Arabidopsis thaliana: one gene and its partners. The protein of the gene in region 1 interacts with the protein of each later gene in a biochemical or structural test. Each region holds a gene or a part of one and is shown on either strand. Other genes may lie near its edges.

Region 1 (7,819 bases):
ACAAACTCAGACAGGAAAAAACTGTAAGAAGAAGAAGAAAATAAGAGAAAAGCAACAAAGCTATGGAAAGCTTAACTTTGGATTTGCAAGTTAAGTATTTTTAAAGCAAGGGAAGCATTGGAGAAGATCTTGTTGATATGTCAACCATAGCTTGAACATTGTGGAGCCCAAATGAAAAGGTATAAGTTGGCTGCAAAAGATACAAATGAAAACTGTGGAAAAATTCTTGAAGACTGAGATAAGTACACACTCAAAATGAGTTTTTCAATTCTAAGACTATGTGGGAACAGCGAGAACTTCAGTTGTGTGGAAAATTGGGAACTTGGCAAAGTGAATTTGTCTGACCTTCAGGAAAATGAGAAGAAGAAGAAGCATGTATGAAAAATACACTTAAGGAACTTGAGGAGAAGAGTGAGGATTTGTAGGAAAGAGTTGGAGAAGCGGAGACTGGAAGCATGAAAGTCGAGGCAAAGAAGGTTGCTTTAGAAAACAGAAAGCTCAGAGCAATGAAGGTTTTTTCTCTTGAAAAACTCGATAACTTGTCAAAGGTATATGAAAGCTTGGTGGATACAAGTGAAGCGTTTTTAAAGCAAGGCAAGGATTGGAGAAGGTCTTGTTGATATGTCAACCATAGCTTGAACATTGTGGAGCCCAAATTAAAAGTTATAAGTTGGCTGCAAAATATACAAGTGAAAAGTAAGGAAAAATTCTTGAAGACTGAGATAAGTAAACACCCAAAATGAGTTTGTCCATTCTAAGACTGTGTAGAGACAGCGAGAACTTCATTTGCGCGGAAAAGTCGGGAACTTGGCAAGGTAAATGAGAATAAACTGAAGGAACTTGAGGAGAAGAATGAGGATCTGTAGGAAAGAGTTAGAGAAGCAGAAACTGGAAGCATGAAATTTAAAGGAAGCTTGTTGGTCAACGAAGTCAAGCCAAAGAACATTGCTTTAGAAAACTCAGAGCAATGTAGGTTTGTTCTCTTGAAAAAATCGATGAGTCGTCCTCAAAGGTAAATGAAAACTTGGAGTATAAACTGCAGACTGAAGAAGACCGAGAGCTTAATTGACAAAGAAACCAACCTATAGAGCATTACTAAAGAAGCTGAGAAGAGCTCAGGAAAATGAAATTTGCTGGCTGAAGGAATGAATTAGACATTGGTTAATACACAAAATGCAGAGCACTAATCAAAGATTAGTTGAGAAAATAGCCAAACGCAGAGTTTAAGAGGAAGTCAATGGAGTCTTCTTATCATAACAACATTGAGGAGTTGTCACTAAAACTTCTTATTCCGGGTATTTAAATGGCTTCTTCCTCCGCAACTTCTCACTTTCCAGAACACAAAGACTTATAAACAAACCATCCTTCACGTATGTGTTGAATTGAAATGTGAATGTGACTTCATCAACACAATGACTTCAAAACCCAACGACGGTCTTCCTTTCTTTTCTCACCAATAAAATGTAGAAAAGAAACAAAGTACACAAGAAAGACTTTTCATTTAACGATATCTCCACTAGTAGTAGCTATAACTAAATGGGGTCATCGTTATTGACTTTGAATAAGAAATGTTCAAACACTTCAATTATTACATAATATCTTTGCAATAAAATAACAAACGTTAAAGAGCCGTCGCATTATTAGCACAAAAAATATCTTTTGTAAATAAAAAAACAACGTAAAAGAGCCGTCACATTTGAATAATAAAACCCATCTTGCACATAAAAAACACGACTTTTTATTATTTTTGATTATTTCAACAAAGTATGAATAGTCAACATAAAGAAAAGTCCGCCTTGATGTTCCTTCCTCACTCCCTATTTATCCATTTTCTAATCCCACCCTCTTCTCTTCATTCATCATCTTCCTCCTCTCTCTCTTCTCTGTATCACCCAACTAAATCCTCACGGGATTAGATCCAAAGTCTCAAACTTTGATCCAAAAACACAAACTTTGTTCAAAAGACATAAACTTTGAGCCAAAGTCACAAGCTTTCTTGGTGAACGATGGATTACAATCCAAATCTTCCTCCTTTAGGAGGAGGTGGTGTTAGTATGAGAAGAAGCATAAGTCGAAGTGTAAGCAGAGCAAGTAGGAACATTGAAGATATCTTCTCATCTGGTTCAAGAAGAACACAATCAGTCAACGACGATGAAGAAGCTCTTAAATGGGCTGCCATTGAGAAGCTACCAACTTACAGTCGTCTCCGAACCACTCTCATGAACGCTGTAGTCGAAGACGATGTTTACGGTAACCAGCTCATGAGCAAGGAGGTTGATGTAACCAAGCTTGATGGTGAAGATCGTCAGAAGTTTATTGACATGGTTTTCAAAGTAGCTGAGCAAGATAATGAAAGGATCTTGACTAAGCTAAGAAACAGGATCGATAGAGTTGGTATCAAACTTCCAACTGTTGAAGTCAGGTACGAGCATTTGACGATTAAAGCTGATTGTTACACTGGTAATAGATCTCTTCCTACACTTTTGAATGTTGTGAGGAACATGGGAGAGTCTGCTTTAGGTATGATTGGTATTCAATTTGCTAAGAAAGCTCAGCTTACGATTCTTAAAGATATCTCTGGGGTTATTAAACCTGGAAGGATGACACTTTTGTTGGGTCCTCCTTCTTCTGGTAAGACCACTCTTTTGTTGGCTTTAGCTGGGAAACTTGATAAATCTCTACAAGTCAGTGGTGATATTACTTACAATGGTTACCAACTCGATGAGTTTGTTCCGAGAAAGACCTCTGCTTACATTAGTCAGAACGATCTTCATGTTGGTATCATGACTGTTAAGGAGACTCTTGACTTCTCTGCTAGGTGTCAAGGTGTTGGTACTCGTTATGGTAAGTAAAAGATTCAATCTTTAATCATATCTTTTTTTCAAGATTCAGTTTTGTTGAATGGTTTTGATTCTTGTTGTTGTAGATCTGTTGAATGAGCTTGCGAGGAGAGAAAAGGACGCTGGTATATTCCCGGAAGCCGATGTTGATCTCTTCATGAAAGCTTCTGCTGCTCAAGGTGTTAAGAACAGTCTCGTCACTGATTATACTCTCAAAGTGAGTCCAACTCTCGCCTTAACTTAGCTCATCTTGTTCTTTTTGTTTCAAGAAGAGTGTTTGTTACTAGGCAAGCAACTCATAAAATCGAATCGAACTAAATCGTTTTTTATAAACCGAAACTGAACCGGAATTTATTCATTAACCGTTTGGTTTCATTATTTTAGAATATTGATATAAGTTTTCATATTCTAAAAATGTTCTAGACAATCTTTTCTCATGTTCATAAAGTTTTGAGTCTTTTTTTGTATAATACTAACTTTGGCCGTGTAACAGATTTTGGGGCTTGACATTTGCAAAGACACAATAGTTGGAGATGACATGATGAGAGGTATATCTGGAGGTCAGAAGAAACGTGTCACAACTGGTGAGATGATTGTTGGACCTACTAAGACACTCTTCATGGACGAAATATCCACTGGTCTTGACAGTTCCACTACTTTCCAAATCGTCAAGTGTCTGCAACAAATCGTTCACCTCAATGAAGCCACGGTGCTCATGTCTCTCCTCCAGCCTGCTCCTGAGACTTTTGATTTATTCGATGATATCATCTTGGTGTCGGAAGGTCAGATCGTGTACCAAGGACCGAGAGACAACATTCTTGAGTTCTTTGAGAGCTTTGGGTTCAAGTGTCCTGAGAGAAAAGGAACAGCTGATTTCCTGCAAGAGGTTACTTCCAAGAAAGATCAAGAACAGTACTGGGTGAACCCGAACAGACCTTATCACTACATTCCGGTTTCAGAGTTTGCCAGTAGATACAAGAGTTTCCATGTTGGGACGAAGATGTCTAACGAACTTGCAGTACCGTTCGATAAGTCTCGCGGCCACAAAGCAGCTCTTGTGTTCGATAAGTACTCTGTCTCAAAGAGGGAGCTTCTCAAGAGCTGTTGGGACAAAGAGTGGCTGCTTATGCAGCGAAACGCGTTCTTCTATGTTTTCAAGACTGTCCAGATCGTCATCATTGCTGCAATCACGTCTACACTCTTCCTGAGAACCGAAATGAACACAAGAAACGAGGGTGATGCTAATCTCTACATAGGAGCATTGCTATTTGGAATGATCATCAACATGTTTAATGGGTTTGCGGAGATGGCTATGATGGTTTCAAGACTCCCTGTGTTCTACAAACAGAGGGATCTCTTGTTTTATCCATCCTGGACCTTCTCACTTCCCACTTTCTTGCTTGGGATTCCAAGCTCAATATTAGAATCGACGGCTTGGATGGTGGTGACTTATTACTCCATTGGTTTTGCACCTGACGCCAGCCGCTTCTTCAAGCAGTTTCTTCTGGTGTTTCTGATTCAACAAATGGCTGCATCCCTCTTTAGGTTGATTGCTTCTGTGTGCAGAACCATGATGATTGCTAATACTGGTGGTGCTCTCACTCTACTTCTTGTGTTCTTGCTCGGAGGCTTCCTTCTTCCGAAAGGCAAGATTCCTGACTGGTGGGGTTGGGCTTACTGGGTATCTCCTCTCACCTATGCTTTCAACGGTCTAGTAGTCAATGAAATGTTTGCTCCCAGATGGATGAACAAAATGGTAAGTGGCTTACTTCTTTATTCTGCATTTTACAAACAAATATCATAGTAAAGCCGCCTCTGAGTCATATTTTTTTCAAATTACAGGCTTCTTCTAACAGCACAATAAAGCTTGGAACTATGGTGCTTAATACTTGGGATGTCTACCATCAAAAGAACTGGTACTGGATTTCAGTTGGAGCCTTGCTTTGTTTCACAGCCCTCTTCAACATTCTATTCACCTTGGCACTTACCTATCTCAACCGTAAGTTCTCGTGTTGTATCACCCGTTTTACCAAATCTAAAAACAATAGACTACTAATAATGTACCTTTGAAACTACAGCTCTTGGGAAGAAGGCAGGTTTACTTCCAGAAGAAGAAAATGAAGACGCTGATCAGGGGAAAGATCCAATGCGTAGATCTTTGTCTACTGCAGATGGGAACAGAAGTAAGTAAACACATTTCTTAATCTGCTTAGATGTTTTGCTTTTCTTGTACTCTTGTCTCATTCTGCTCCCTGCTATCAGGAGGAGAGGTCGCAATGGGGAGAATGAGTAGGGACTCTGCGGCTGAAGCATCAGGTGGTGCAGGCAATAAGAAAGGAATGGTTCTTCCTTTCACTCCTTTAGCTATGTCCTTTGACGACGTCAAATACTTTGTTGACATGCCTGGGGTAAGTAACTATCTTCACTTAAAATCTTTACACTAAATTAAATATGAATTACTTAAACTAAATAGATATCTTTTGATGGTATAGGAAATGAGAGACCAAGGAGTTACAGAAACAAGACTCCAACTGCTTAAAGGTGTGACTGGTGCATTTAGGCCAGGAGTTTTGACTGCGCTTATGGGAGTGAGTGGTGCCGGTAAGACTACGCTTATGGACGTTTTGGCCGGAAGGAAAACAGGTGGATACATTGAAGGAGATGTGAGAATATCAGGATTCCCAAAGGTTCAAGAAACATTTGCTAGAATCTCAGGATATTGTGAGCAGACCGATATTCACTCCCCGCAAGTAACAGTCAGAGAATCTCTGATTTTCTCTGCTTTCCTTCGTCTTCCTAAAGAAGTCGGCAAAGATGAAAAAATGATGTTTGTGGATCAAGTGATGGAATTGGTAGAGCTGGACAGTCTTAGGGACTCCATTGTTGGTTTACCGGGTGTCACGGGGCTTTCCACGGAGCAGAGAAAGAGACTGACAATCGCGGTGGAGCTTGTAGCCAACCCTTCCATCATCTTTATGGATGAGCCAACTTCAGGGCTAGACGCTAGAGCAGCGGCTATTGTGATGAGGGCGGTAAGGAACACAGTGGACACTGGAAGAACCGTGGTCTGCACCATTCATCAGCCTAGCATTGATATCTTTGAAGCATTTGATGAATTGATGCTGATGAAGAGAGGAGGACAAGTGATTTACGCGGGTCCATTGGGTCAAAACTCTCACAAGGTGGTTGAGTACTTTGAATCTTTCCCCGGAGTGTCCAAGATTCCAGAAAAGTATAACCCGGCCACTTGGATGCTCGAAGCTAGCTCACTCGCCGCTGAGCTAAAGCTTAGTGTTGACTTTGCTGAGTTATACAATCAATCAGCATTGCACCAGTAAGTTTAAGTTCCTTCTTTTCCATGGCTCATTGCATCTGATTGATTGTTTAAGTAATAGTACTAATGAATACATAACAAAATGCAGGCGAAACAAAGCGTTGGTAAAAGAACTAAGTGTACCACCAGCAGGAGCATCAGATCTTTACTTTGCTACACAATTCTCACAAAACACATGGGGACAGTTCAAATCATGCTTATGGAAACAATGGTGGACGTATTGGAGATCTCCAGACTACAATCTTGTCCGTTTCATCTTCACATTGGCAACATCTCTCTTGATTGGTACAGTCTTCTGGCAAATCGGAGGTAACAGGTCGAACGCAGGGGATCTAACAATGGTGATAGGAGCATTGTATGCCGCGATTATCTTCGTGGGAATCAACAACTGTTCAACAGTACAACCGATGGTTGCAGTGGAAAGAACAGTGTTCTACAGAGAAAGAGCAGCAGGAATGTACTCAGCCATGCCATATGCCATCTCTCAAGTCACTTGTGAGCTTCCCTATGTCCTTATTCAAACCGTTTACTACTCACTCATCGTCTACGCCATGGTTGGTTTCGAATGGAAAGCCGAAAAGTTCTTCTGGTTCGTCTTCGTTAGCTACTTCTCATTCCTCTACTGGACTTACTACGGCATGATGACTGTTTCCCTCACACCAAACCAACAAGTCGCTTCGATTTTCGCCTCAGCGTTTTACGGTATTTTCAACCTCTTCTCTGGTTTCTTCATTCCAAGACCCAAAATCCCAAAATGGTGGATTTGGTACTACTGGATCTGCCCTGTTGCATGGACCGTGTATGGATTGATAGTGTCGCAGTACGGTGATGTGGAGACACGTATCCAAGTCCTTGGTGGTGCTCCTGACTTAACCGTCAAGCAATACATTGAGGACCATTATGGTTTCCAATCTGACTTTATGGGACCAGTGGCGGCTGTACTCATCGCTTTCACCGTCTTCTTCGCCTTCATCTTCGCCTTCTGCATCAGAACTCTCAACTTCCAGACCAGATAAAACCATCTCTCAAACAACAAAGTCTCTTTCTTTTTTTGTATCCTCTGTGTTGTTTATATGCACTATAAGCTTTGTATGTTCTAAATATGTATTGTAGTGTCATAACGAAATTTTTTTGAATATTTTTATTTATTGTCTTATAGATGATGACGAATCGGAATCATGTAATATAATTCCACTTTTTTTTGTGTTTATATCCACAAATCCCTCAAAGTCCATTTTTGTTTGTTTCTTGAGACTTTTTATTTTACGATACTTCCAATAAGAGGAAGAAGACAGAAAAAAAGTGTGATCATATCCATTATCAAAGAAGACAAAATCAATGGAGGATAAGTTAATGTTCTTCATGATTAAATCTTGATAATTGTATAACATGGTTCTGTAAAAATTATCACAACACAACACCAATATCATAAAGTTTAATGAGAAATCTCAATAAATCAGTTTTTCTAAATATAGAAAAGTCTATCTTACAACGACAAAACGATTTTGAATTTTGGATTAAATCACCTAAAATTTCCTTAAATCCTACCAAAAGTCCTCCCAATCAAATTTCCATTTAATCATACCCAAATGTTTAGGCCAATACACCACCCTATATCTTGATCATTGCATAATATGGTTTGGAT
Region 2 (4,659 bases), on another chromosome or scaffold:
AGATTTTTTTTTTTTTTGCTGGTTGTTTAAAAGAAAGCGTTGACTAAATAAATAACAAAACGGGGTCAAACGGAGAGAACGGTGTCGTTTGATAGCTCAGTGTGATCGATTTGATTCTTGGGATCAAGAGCCATCTCACGGAGCCGAAGAAGACTTCCGGTAGCCAAAATCGCCTTCGGATTTATATCATGCAGAGATCGGAGATACAAACTCTGACAAGCTTTATTCGCCGCCTCAGATAACTCCCTATCTTCCATTTTGAGCCCAAGGAGACAATGCCCTAAGATCCTCAAAATCGGTTGGAGAAGCTCCCATGGCAATGGAATCCTTCCACTATCTCTCTCAGATCTTCCTCCAATAGCAACATTCTCTTCCTCTCTCCACGAATCATCGCTCAAAGTCGGAATCACAGCCCGTGAAGATTGCTCCGTTTCTCCGTTTTGCCCCGCCCATTTCTCACACGATTCACAGAAATTAAGCTTAGATTCGCGTGGCATTTTCGAGATTTTGCTATAGTAAAGCTCCAACGCGACTCCGACGATCCTCGCGCGGCGCGTGGATCTAACCGTCCCGTGTGGATCTAACGTGGAGGAGATCACAGCGATGTTGAGGCACGTTGAGTTGTTGTTCCTTGTGAGACCTTTGGATTCATGGTAAATGCTTGGATATGAGAGATCTGGAATGTTGACGGTTATTGCTTGACCGGCACGTGAGGTTGTTTCGTGCGCGTAGAGAGCGAGTAAAACGGCTTCGAATCCGGCTTGTGGTTGACGGAGAGGGACACGAGAGAGGTAGAGACCAGCGATTAAAGGAACGAATCGGAGGACGAGAAGCTGAAGCGATGGTTCCGCGGATTGGAATGTGTCGTAGAGCCAACGGCAGAGGTTGTTATCTCCGGCGCCTGAATCGGGACGTAGGAGGAGAGAGGAGATCGCGGTGGAGACGGCTTCATCGTCGAGGAGGATGGTTATTGTGGAAGGGATGTTTGTGTTTGTGACGATCGTGGATAAGGATTGGATTGCTGTTTGACATTTTGTGTTGGATTCTGATTCGTTGTTGGTCACTGTGGTTTCTGAATCTCCGGTGATCGCCGGAGAAGGTGGTGAGTCATGGCTTGAGGAAGAATCAGACATTTTGGGGAAGATGATGATCGCTTCTGAGAGAGTAGAGGTGAAAAATATGGAAATTTTGAAAACTTTGAGAAAATTACGCAGCAAAAATAGAATCAAATAAAAGTAAACCAAATTATGGGCTTGATAGTTATGGGCTAGAAGCCCAAATTAAATTTGATCTTTATCCCGTGTATTTAGATGGGTCATTTCACACCGAAACTTTTCAAGTTATCTCATGAACGTGACCGTTTCAAAGACATCATGTGCATCCTCAATAGTCGCTTGTGTGTATCGGAGACAAAGGGGCTAACCCAAGTGATATGGTCGTTAGATTCTTCAGGCGGCAACAAGCCATGGAACAAATTATGTTCGATAGATCTCACAAAAACTCTTTCTTTGTCCACTTCCCTCTGGCGCCAATAGCATTATTGGACAAGAATAAGCTATTGCTTCAAGGTCATGGTTGCATGGAAGAACATGTGATATATGATCTCCATGCAAAATCTTACTCTTACTAGAAAAAGCGTATTTACAACTAAAAATCACTTATTGTGGAATTTTGAAAACTTTGAGAATATAACGCAGCAAAAATAGGATCAATCTTATATAATAAAACAAAGATATACATGTGTTGTAGCTGCTCATATCGTACGATCTGGACGCTTGATTTGTTTTTCGATCGGACGGTTAGTATAGCACCGTCCGGGGACCATAAAAAAAAAACAAATTGGCAATAATGTTTTTTTTTTTACATTGTTTGATGCTTGGTTGGTTTTGGACCTTTTGGTTCTCCATCTTCAAAATCTCATCAATCCGATTAGAGAAATTAGGGCAACGTAATTTTGGCGAAAATCCTCTCTCTGTTACGAATAGATTGTTTTTGATTACTAAAGGTACTAACTTTTCTCGATTCCGCTTGCTTGTTTTAGCTTTCATCTCTGTTTCTAGGGATTTATCGTTGTTCCTCTGTTTCGTTTTAGCTAACATTTACGAATCTCTTCGTTTTTCTTTGTTTATGATGTGTTGGTCTGATTGTTATCGATTTTTGGGGGTAAAAATTTGTATTTTGTTTAATCTGGTTTGGTTCTATTGATGAATCGTTTTTCTCGTTTATCTTCAAGCTTAGCTGGATTCGTCTCTGGTGCTGTAGATTTTCGAGATCCGGTCAGAGTCGTTCGTGAAAAGCTCCTTGTTTAAGTGTTACGGGCTACATCGGACGCTGACTGGCTTTTCATGGAATTTGAGTGCCAAGAGAGACTTGAAGCTGCGAACGATCAAAGAAGTGAGTCTGGTCTTTTGAATACCGATTTGAGAATAGGTAATGATGGGTCTGTTGAGATTCCAAATGTGAAGTTGTGTTGTCAGAAAAAGAAGGGAACTTTAGTGCCCAGTGGCTCGAAACAGTTACTCTCTGACAAGGATTTGTCTACTACCATTATTGATTTACCTCAGGCATTGATATCTGAGATTCTTAATTGCCTTGACCCAAAAGAGTTGGGTCTAGTGTCTTGTGTTTCAACTTATCTGCATAGGTTAGCATCTGAGCATCACGCTTGGAAGGAGTTCTATCGTGAGAGATGGGGACTCCCTGTAGTTTTCGGAGCTGCAAGTTCAGGGCTTTCTGATGAGAGATCATGGAAAGATCTGTTTGTTGAAAGGGAATTTAGGAGTAGGACCTTTTTAGGACGTTATAGTATTGATACTCTGTATGGTCACACTGAAGCAGTCCGGACTGTTTTTCTCTTAGCTTCTGCCAAGCTCGTTTTCACTTCTGGATATGATTCCATTGTTCGGATGTGGGACATGGAAGAAGGCTTGTCTATTGCGGCATCTAAACCTCTCGGTTGTACGATTAGGGCACTTGCTGCTGATACAAAGCTGTTGGTAGCTGGCGGTACTGATGGATTCATTCATTGCTGGAAATCACTGGATGGTCTCCGGAACCTGTTTGATCTCACAGGTTTTCAGAAAGAGAAGACTGAGTTTCGGCTATGGGGACATGAGGGTCCTATTACATCTCTTGCCCTGGACATGACAAGTATCTTTAGCGGTTCATGGGATATGTCTGTTCGTATATGGGATCGATCTTCAATGAAGTGTGTCAAAACCTTGAGGCATAGTGATTGGGTTTGGGGACTTGCACCTCATGAAACCACCCTCGCTAGCACGTCAGGTTCTGATGTATATATTTGGGACGTTAGCAGTGAGACTCCATTGGCGATCATCCCTGATGCTCATGAGGGTACCACTTACTCTTTGGCAAGAAGCCATACTGGGGATTTCCTGTTTACTGGTGGAGAAGATGGAGGGATTAAAATGTTTGAGATCAGAAGATACGGTAGTGAAACAAGCGTTGTACTTATATCTCAATGGATGCCTCACACTAGTCCTGTCTACTCTCTTTCTTTTGAGTTTCCTTGGCTTGTCTCAGCATCCGGTGACGGTAAACTCGCACTTATCGACGTTAGGAAACTGTTAAAAACTAACCGTTGTGCCTATTCCAAAAGGATTTCTTCGAGTACTGTGGAACCGCCACAACGAATGCTGCACGGGTTCGGGTCAAACTTGTTCTCTGTGGACGTGGGTTATGACCGTATAGTGTGTGGAGGTGAAGAAGGCACAGTCCGGATATGGAACTTCACACAAGCATTGGAGATAGAGCGAAGGACCCGAGCTCTGAAAGGAATGAGGCATGAGAATAGGATGAGACGAAGGAGAATGCAAATGGAGATGAACGCAAAGAATGGAAGGCCTGACCAATGCTCCATTGCTGCTCATAAGAACCCCATCAATGGAGAAAGGAACCGAGCCTGGCATAGTAAACGAAGAGCAAGCGGGAAGGCGAAGGCCTAAGCGATAAGATTGGATTTATCTTTAATACATTTAGTAAAGCAATTTTATAACCTTGACACATGTTGGCTTTAACTTTTAAGCTATCAGAGTTGGGTCTTTATGATTGGTGGAAAATGAGAAAATTGGCTTTTAGTTCATATATTTTGGAAGCTTTTAGTATGAAAAAATGCAAGAGATTCCTCGAAGGTTCACTAACTTCTAACTGAATTTCAAAATCTTACAATACAACAAACATAGTAATATTTTTCAAGTTCAAAAACAAGAAAACGAAAAATATAAACAAAAAAGGAAGTTCCAATTCTCTATTGGCTTTTCTTTGAAACTTGAAGAATTTGATATTTGATCGACCATGACAGAATAGCAAAGCCTCATGAGTCTTGGTTCTTTCGTTTGAATTCCCAGATCAATTCCTAGTTCTCTCGTTTGAATTCCTAGTCTCTTCGACTTCAATCTACCCACTAAATTCTATTGCAGTTAATCCACAACAAAAGCCAATAATTATCCACTTAATTAAAAAAGTAATGCATGCAATGTAAGTGAGAAATCAATGACTAGTGTACCCTCTCGAATTTCATGTACAAGAAAAACTCTTTGTCTTCCTTAGCGTAAAACATAAAAAGGCTTTAAGACTCTTTGCACTCACCGCACGCCTCTTCATCTCCTCTTACATAATCCTTTCTTTTACTATTTAAGG
Region 3 (3,969 bases), on another chromosome or scaffold:
GCAATGGCTAAGGACACTTACTCTGAGAAAGACCTCAAGAAAGATTTCAGACTCTTTGACATAGACAAGAATGGTTTCATCTCAGCTGCTGAAATGAGATATGTGAGGACTATCCTCCGGTGGAAGCAAACTGATGAAGAAATCGATGAGATTATCAAGGCAGCTGATGTTGATGGTGATGGTCAGATCAACTACAGAGAGTTTGCCAGGCTTATGATGGCCAAGTGAGATTTAAACAACTTTTCCGCTTCCCCTTTTTTTACTACCTCTTATCTAATTTCATAAAGAATGTTCCTCTCTTGTTCTTAAATTTCATTCTGAGTTCTTGTGTGTATGGCTAGGAATCAAGGTCATGATACTAAATATGACACAACTGGTGGCACTTTGGAGAGGGACTTGGCGGCCGGGGTTGCCAAAAATATCATCGCAGCGCCAATGACCGACTTCATCAAAAATTTGTTCGAAGCGTTGTTTTCTTGAAATGGTACATCAGTAACTTTATGCCATTAGGGTCTGGCTGGTATGTTAGATCTCTCTAAAAAGGCGTTTGATCTTTGAAAATAATTTCTATGTAATAAATTTATTGTGTTACCATCTTTTCTTGCATGCAATTTATTAAAATGAGTTTGTAATATGGTTTCAGTATCGAATATAATTGGGGTATCAATGTATCTTTTGAGAAAAACATTTAAAACGTAGCAGAACTAATTATTGAAAACTGGTAGCATTACTAAAAATTGATCTAAATCGGTTAATGATTTGGCACATACAGTGATCAAATCAGCTAAGCCTCATATCTCACCGTCCCAGAGTTCTTCAAGACTCTTATAAGGACTCATCTAATGAATAATGACATGCCTCGCACCAACCTGCCCTGCAACATTGAAAACACACGTCTACAATTTCGATAACCCAAGTGTTTTGAGCAAAACAAAGGACGCCCTTTGACCCATTTGGACTACAATGTGTGGAAAATTACTGCATGTTCAATATCAGAAAACTTGGATAACATGTCTTCGATATGGGCTTTTCTTATTTTGTACCCGTGTAATTTCGCTGGCCCAAAATCCAAAGCAACAAGGGTAAATTTGTATGCAGTACATGTGGCATGTTGGGTCATATGGAAACAGGTCACAAGACTCAGATTCTTTACATTGCGGCGGGTAGTAGTAGCTTTCTAGTCTACCTTGAGATTGCCCCTGCCCGTGATTCTTGAGTCGGGCACAGGAAGTGGTTTTCTGTCAACTTTACTTGCTCAAGCCATCCCCGCAAGGTAGAAACTTCTGTGGTCTTTCTCGTTATTTCTTATGTACCATGTTTTTGGTCGTTTGTGTAGTTTCTTCTAACCTTCCACACACTTGTCTTGCGAATTCCTTCCACAGCAGAGATGTTAAATCAGGAATATTCAGGATGTAGAAACTTCTCTGCTCTTTCTCAAGTAGAATGCACTTGTGGAATCCCTCAGATCAGATTTCATTGGTAACGTTCGTTAACTTCAACAACAACACTTTACTAAACATGTGCTAATCAATTGTCATACGCTTGTATTTCTTCGATTCATTTTTATCTTATGCAAGTGTTTTCTCTATTATGATTTATTTAGTTTTGCATAAATAAGGACACTCCTTCGGAGTCAGTATAAGAAAACTATAACCTAAAATATAAATTAGGCAAATGTCCACTCACCCATCCAAAATTCCATTGTAAATAAATGTTTCTTTCAAATAAATGAAAAAAAAAAAAAAAAACAAGTTGGAAGAAGGAACCAACCAAGTAATTGCCAGTCAAAGGAGGCGACTCACACTTGAAAGGATAAGCTGACATGGCAGACAACGATCCTGCGTAGAAATTGCGTGAACGTGGAAAAGTTTGAGGATATAGCCGTCATTTCAAATAATTCGGGTACTATTATATAAGGCTTCAAGTCCTGGTTCGTAGTACAAATTGTCTCACAAACTCTTCTTTCAGTCATCACAGAAAACAAAAAAAACAATGGCGGATAAGCTCACTGACGATCAGATTACAGAATACAGGGAATCTTTCAGGTTATTCGACAAGAATGGTGATGGTATGGTTCATCAACTCTTTCCATTTAATCGTAATGTTGGATCATGATCATCTTCAAAGCAATGAAATGACTAACACAAGTCCTTGATTACTTTTTGTAGGTTCCATTACGAAAAAGGAGCTCGGTACCATGATGCGTTCAATCGGTGAAAAACCGACAAAAGCTGATCTTCAGGACTTGATGAACGAAGCGGATTTAGATGGTGATGGAACCATCGATTTCCCTGAGTTCTTGTGCGTAATGGCTAAGAATCAAGGTCATGATCAAGCGCCGCGTCACACTAAAAAAACAATGGCGGATAAGCTCACTGACGATCAGATTACAGAGTACAGGGAATCTTTCAGGTTATTCGACAAGAATGGTGATGGTATGGTTCATCAACTCTTTCCATTTAATCGTAATGTTGGATCATGATCATCTTCAAAGCAATGAAATGACTAACACTAGTCCTTGATTACTTTTTGTAGGTTCCATTACGAAAAAGGAGCTCCGTACCGTGATGTTTTCCCTCGGTAAAAACCGGACAAAAGCTGATCTTCAGGACATGATGAACGAAGTGGATTTAGATGGTGATGGAACCATCGATTTCCCTGAGTTCTTGTACCTAATGGCTAAGAATCAAGGTCATGATCAAGCGCCGCGTCACACTAAAAAAACAATGGTGGATTATCAGCTCACTGACGATCAGATCTTAGAATTCAGGGAAGCCTTCCGCGTATTCGACAAGAATGGTGATGGTATGGTTCATCGTCCCTTTCTCGCTAATCGTACATATTGGATCCTGATCATCTTCAAAGCACTGAAATGACTAACATAAGTCATTGCTTACTTTTTGTAGGTTACATTACCGTGAATGAGCTCCGTACTACTATGCGCTCCCTTGGTGAAACCCAAACAAAAGCTGAGCTCCAGGACATGATCAACGAAGCGGATGCAGATGGTGACGGAACCATCAGTTTCTCTGAGTTTGTGTGTGTAATGACTGGTAAAATGATTGACACTCAGTCTAAGAAAGAAACGTACAGAGTTGTGAATCAAGGTCAGGGTCAAGTGCAGCGTCACACTAGAAATGACAGAGCTGGTGGCACCAATTGGGAGAGGGACATAGCGGTCGGGGTTGCCAGCAATATCATCGCTTCGCCAATTTCCGACTTCATGAAAGATAGGTTTAAAGATTTGTTCGAAGCGCTGTTATCTTGAAATGACACGTCAGTAACTTTATGCCAATAGGGTCTGACAATTATGTTAGATCTCTCTCAAAAGGCGTTTCATCTAATGACAATAATTTCTATGTAATAAATTTATTGCATGTGTTAGTGTGTTACCATCTTCAGTTGTGTGCAATTTATTAAAATGAGTTTGTAATATGGTTTCAGTATCGAATATAATTGGGGTATTAATGTATCTTTTGAGAAAAACATTGAAACGTAGCAGAACTAATCATTGAAAACTGGTAGCTCACTACTAAAAATTGATCTAATATGATAAATCGGTTAATGATCTGGCACATACAGTGATCAAATCAGCTAAGCCTCATATCTTACCATGTTAATCAATTGTCATAAGCATGTATTTCTTCGATTTGTTTTTATCCGATGCAAATTTTTGCTTTGTGATTGTTATTGCAGAAACAAGGACGTTCGATGCACTTCCAAAAAACATATAATGTTACAGACAATGTAGTATTAAAAAGTAGTAGTTAAAAGCAAAATCTTTAATAATTTAGACAAATGTAGCGACAGCTCCACTTACCATCCAAACGAATACTTCACAATTGATAATTCTAATAAATGTTTTTTTTTAAAAAAGACAGCATTTAACAATAACGAGAAAACAAATACTAACGAATTGGAACCAGAAACCAACGAACCAAGGAAAATCAAAGGAGGCGACTCACTGGA
Region 4 (3,989 bases), on another chromosome or scaffold:
CAATTGGATCATTATATAGTTGTTGTCATATTGAGGATAGTGTTCAAAATTATATAAAGACAATATAGTATGGACCCCAATTAAGTTTCGGTGGGGCTAATTATGTAATGAGGTTTAGTCTAATCTGATAGGATCAAATTAAAGTGGAGAAGAGAGTAAAGAAAGTGTGAGGAGAAAGAGGCATGTTAGACAAATGATGAAGGAAGAAACAGCTTTTAGGGGCCTTTATTCCTTTAGTCATGAAGCCCACTTTAACTTTTCCCATCATTTGGACCCCCACCCATTCTTTGATTTATTCCTGATTCTGACCCACATACTGTTTTATGGTACCAAATCAAGAACACCACTTTTAAAGAAAAATGATTCTACAAGCACTTCATGTATGCCTGAGTCTTATTATTCGCTAGTAATAGTTTATATATATTTGTGTGACAACGTACTAATTTATATACTAAACACACAAGTTGTCTGATAAATTATTTTCGTCTTATTTAACAAACAACCAACAGTACTGGCAGGAGATGTCGTCGTGGGGACGCACACGCAGAAGAACACGAAGACGACACAACACGAACCAGACACAGACACGATGTTGTCGATGATGAACCATCACGAATATTGCTGCAAAGACAACAAACCCTACAAAGTCAACAATATAAATCTAATCACTAGACCCGATCATTACTCCATTCATGACGTCATTTCCAAGAGATCAACGTCAACGACGACGACAGAGTCATGTGGCACGTTGCCCCTTGTGGTGCGGAGGGTAAGACGGAGCTTGATGGAGAGCGTGAACCAAGTTTGTGATGACGTGGCATCTGGTCAACGAAGAGAGGTCGCTAAAATCGGTTTGGCTCTTCATGATCACATCTGTCGCGACTTGATCGCAGAGACCGTTCGAGAGCTCTCCTTCTCTGACTACGACGACGACGAGTTTTATCAATCGCCGGTGGATTCTTCTGTTTGTTACGGCGGAGGAGGTAAAGGCCAACACATCCGACGTGGCAGCAGCAACTCTCTCCCATTCGACGCGTGTCGAAGAAGATTAGTGTTTTGATGCGATTGATATCTTTAGGTTCGTTGTGACGGTTATGGAAGTCATAGTTGCGACAATTTTCACCTATGACACTTGTTGTTTAAATTATTTTATAATTTTCTTAGCTTATTCAGAATTTAAGACATATCTTTCAATAGAGTGCAATTGGTTGTTTAGGGTTTAATGAATGATACACTATTTGCATTCAATATAAAAACTTTCCCTATTTGATGAATTCATGTATATACTAGTACTACATAGATTTCCTTAAATAAATGAATGATTAACAAAATCAGAAACAATATATTCATCTAGATACAGATATTAATGTTTTTTTTAATAACTCATCCTATATTTTAAAACTCGATCGTTTTCTCTTTATATATACCTTTCTTAAGTTACCTTATATACATAATTTAATCATAGAATTTATTAAGAAATTGATTAGACGTATCAATTATATCTTGAAGTGATTTTGATTGTTTGAAAACGAAATCTAATCTAATTAATTTGCAGGTGATATTGTACTTAAGTTAACAATAAAAGAAACTAATTATTTGTTTTCAATGGTGAGGAGGACTACTTAAATTCAAAAGCGAAGCCAATCATAAACAGACATCTGTACTGAGAGAGATCTCGAGGACCCAGCGAGAATGCTGACGTGACAGTCAAGTCAACGCTCCGCGTACAGACCGCGTGAACGTGTGATCCGTTTAATTGTCCACTCTGGCGTTTTATAAGAGAAAAGAAATCATTGATGATAGCATTAACGCAATTACAGTCATAATCCGAGGTTATAACAGAGATTTTTCCAAACCCGGTACGGGTTAAAAAAAAAAGCTTTTAAAGTCCCGGGTCGGAGCAAAAGTCGTTAATAGCTTCGTACCCGATAAATACGGTTGCTCTCTCGTTTTTTCCAGCAGAGACACTTTTTCTAATTTTCTCTTCTTCTTCTTCTTTCTCGTTTTGAGAGAAAACAAAAAAATTCTGAATCTACAGGTTTCACGAAAAGGAGAAGAAAAAAACAATGGCGGATCAGCTCACCGACGATCAGATCTCTGAGTTTAAGGAAGCTTTCAGCTTATTCGACAAGGATGGTGATGGTACGTTGTTGTTTTTTTCTCTCTCCCTCTCGCAATTTCAAATGTTTTTGAATACATAGGATTTTGCTACTGTTGGATCTTGGTGTCTAGCCATAACTGATTTGATTTCTGTTCTTCTTGTTGATTCAATTGATCTGTGTCGATGTAGATAATTAACGGATCTGTAATTCGTGATCTCTAGACTCGTTCCTTGTTTTTCAATTTTTGTTCGTTTGTTTCCTGGATTGGATTTGAATCGAAATTTGGATGATTGATGACTTGGAGATTTGCCAATTTGTTATCGATTTGGATTTAATTTTCCATCTGAATTATTTTATCTCACTTTAGATTTGAGAAGTTAATGACTAGAAACTGTTAATTGAGAAGTTTGGGATCTAGCTAAAATGCTTCTCTACAGAGAAACCTGCTTTGAGTTTCGTAATTGAAGATATTTGATTGAATTAGATTTACAGAGAAGTGAATGATGAACAAATTCTTGATTTGCTTGTAGGTTGCATTACCACCAAGGAGCTGGGTACTGTGATGCGTTCCCTTGGACAAAACCCAACCGAAGCAGAGCTTCAAGACATGATCAACGAAGTGGATGCTGATGGTAACGGTACCATTGATTTCCCAGAGTTCTTGAACCTTATGGCTCGTAAGATGAAGGACACCGACTCTGAGGAAGAGCTCAAGGAAGCATTCCGGGTTTTCGACAAGGACCAGAACGGTTTCATCTCAGCAGCTGAGCTCCGCCATGTGATGACAAACCTTGGTGAGAAGCTTACTGATGAAGAAGTTGATGAGATGATCAAGGAAGCTGATGTTGATGGTGATGGTCAGATTAACTACGAAGAGTTTGTTAAGGTCATGATGGCTAAGTGATGCTGTTTTAGAACCAAACAATGGCTCTATAAACTTGGTTTGCATCTCTTACATATAAATTCTTATGTTATGTTCTATAATTTTTATTCATGGGACTCGAGGTATGTTTTCTGCTTGTTTAAGACGCGAATGTTTTATCCCTTTTATGCTCTATTTTGCGTCTGAACATTTTCAAAAGTCTTGTTTTTTTGTTGTCTTGCTCCTGTAATTTGTAACCTTGGTCTAGTTCGCGGTTTTTTATTAATGGTGTCTCTCTAGTAAAGCATTGTATCATGGTTTTGTGAAATGCAAATTAGGTCCTATCAATGACTAAAAAGGTCAAAACGTGGTGTGGTGTGTATCATTAAAAAAATAGAAACCGACATAAAAGTTTCCAATTCGTGGTCGTTTAAGAAAAAGGAAAACGGCATAAAGTTTCCTATTCGTGGTTGAATTGGGATCATTCAATTGATGTGAATATAGGTAAAATACCTTTGTGTTTCTTTGTTCACGTTCGTTTCATACTTCCCCTAAATTTGTCTCATCATGGATAACAAGAAGCAGAGATATTCCAGGAGCATCCGTGACGATCGTGATGAGAGAGATAGGACTAAGCATCATCATGAGAGGTCTCACGAAGGAAGTAAGAGGAAAGATAGATCAGAGGAAGAGAATGGGGCGGCTAGGACGACAAACAAGAGTTCTAGGTTTGAAGATGTAGCTAGGTTTGAGAAAAGGCCGTATACTTGTTCTATTGCATCGGACACTACTTCTAGTCAAATCCTTGAAGCTGTTAAACGATTTCAGGAGCTGGCAATAGATACGGCTGTTGCACATAAACAGACCAAGGGCTTTTTTCTGCGTGTAGATGTACTTGGAAGAGAAATAGATGAGTATGGGCATGTGATTAATCTTAGTACATTGATGGTTAACAACAACAAACACAAGAAAGATGTTTTTCAGAATATTCTTAAACCTCCCCAACCTTTTAAATTGACAAAGAA

The links.
Region 2: the proteins of PEN3 (region 1) and FBX2 form a complex in vitro, tested with the Arabidopsis thaliana proteins (one study listed by BioGRID).
Region 3: the proteins of PEN3 (region 1) and TCH3 form a complex in vitro, tested with the Arabidopsis thaliana proteins (one study listed by BioGRID).
Region 4: the proteins of PEN3 (region 1) and CAM3 form a complex in vitro, tested with the Arabidopsis thaliana proteins (one study listed by BioGRID).

Annotation. Positions count from the first base shown.
Region 1 is NC_003070.9:22,032,655-22,040,473, forward strand, and holds PEN3 (ABC-2 and Plant PDR ABC-type transporter family protein), read left to right. Parts: upstream 1-1,768; 5' UTR 1,769-2,006; coding exon 2,007-2,844; intron 2,845-2,926; coding exon 2,927-3,057; intron 3,058-3,333; coding exon 3,334-4,596; intron 4,597-4,682; coding exon 4,683-4,839; intron 4,840-4,918; coding exon 4,919-5,023; intron 5,024-5,102; coding exon 5,103-5,248; intron 5,249-5,332; coding exon 5,333-6,174; intron 6,175-6,262; coding exon 6,263-7,190; 3' UTR 7,191-7,472; downstream 7,473-7,819. Other genes in the region: AT1G59865 (uncharacterized protein), read right to left, coding at 346-643. UniProt on the Arabidopsis thaliana protein: Together with ABCG37, regulates auxin homeostasis and responses by playing a dual role in coumarin (e.g. esculin) and in the auxin precursor indole 3-butyric acid (IBA) efflux transport, thus influencing cotyledons, roots and root hairs development.
Region 2 is NC_003076.8:7,144,364-7,149,022, reverse strand, and holds FBX2 (F-box protein 2), read left to right. Parts: upstream 1-1,745; 5' UTR 1,746-2,005; intron 2,006-2,233; 5' UTR 2,234-2,345; coding exon 2,346-3,965; 3' UTR 3,966-4,146; downstream 4,147-4,659. Other genes in the region: AT5G21050 (hyccin), read right to left, coding at 66-1,133.
Region 3 is NC_003071.7:17,136,139-17,140,107, forward strand, and holds TCH3 (Calcium-binding EF hand family protein), read left to right. Parts: upstream 1-1,690; 5' UTR 1,691-1,751; exon of another isoform or gene 1,752-1,977; 5' UTR 1,978-1,992; coding exon 1,993-2,068; exon of another isoform or gene 2,069-2,168; coding exon 2,169-2,435; exon of another isoform or gene 2,436-2,535; coding exon 2,536-2,805; coding exon of another isoform or gene 2,806-2,867; intron 2,868-2,906; coding exon 2,907-3,268; 3' UTR 3,269-3,469; downstream 3,470-3,969. Other genes in the region: AT2G41090 (Calcium-binding EF-hand family protein), read left to right, coding at 1-224, 342-480; AT2G41105 (uncharacterized protein), read right to left, coding at 2,313-2,348, 2,793-2,867, 2,917-3,021. UniProt on the Arabidopsis thaliana protein: Potential calcium sensor that binds calcium in vitro.
Region 4 is NC_003074.8:21,033,998-21,037,986, reverse strand, and holds CAM3 (calmodulin 3), read left to right. Parts: upstream 1-1,820; 5' UTR 1,821-2,066; coding exon 2,067-2,142; intron 2,143-2,632; coding exon 2,633-3,006; 3' UTR 3,007-3,453; downstream 3,454-3,989. Other genes in the region: AT3G56810 (uncharacterized protein), read left to right, coding at 510-1,060; AT3G56790 (RNA splicing factor-like protein), read left to right, coding at 3,532-3,989. UniProt on the Arabidopsis thaliana protein: Calmodulin mediates the control of a large number of enzymes, ion channels and other proteins by Ca(2+). Among the enzymes to be stimulated by the calmodulin-Ca(2+) complex are a number of protein kinases and phosphatases. Activates MPK8 in vitro.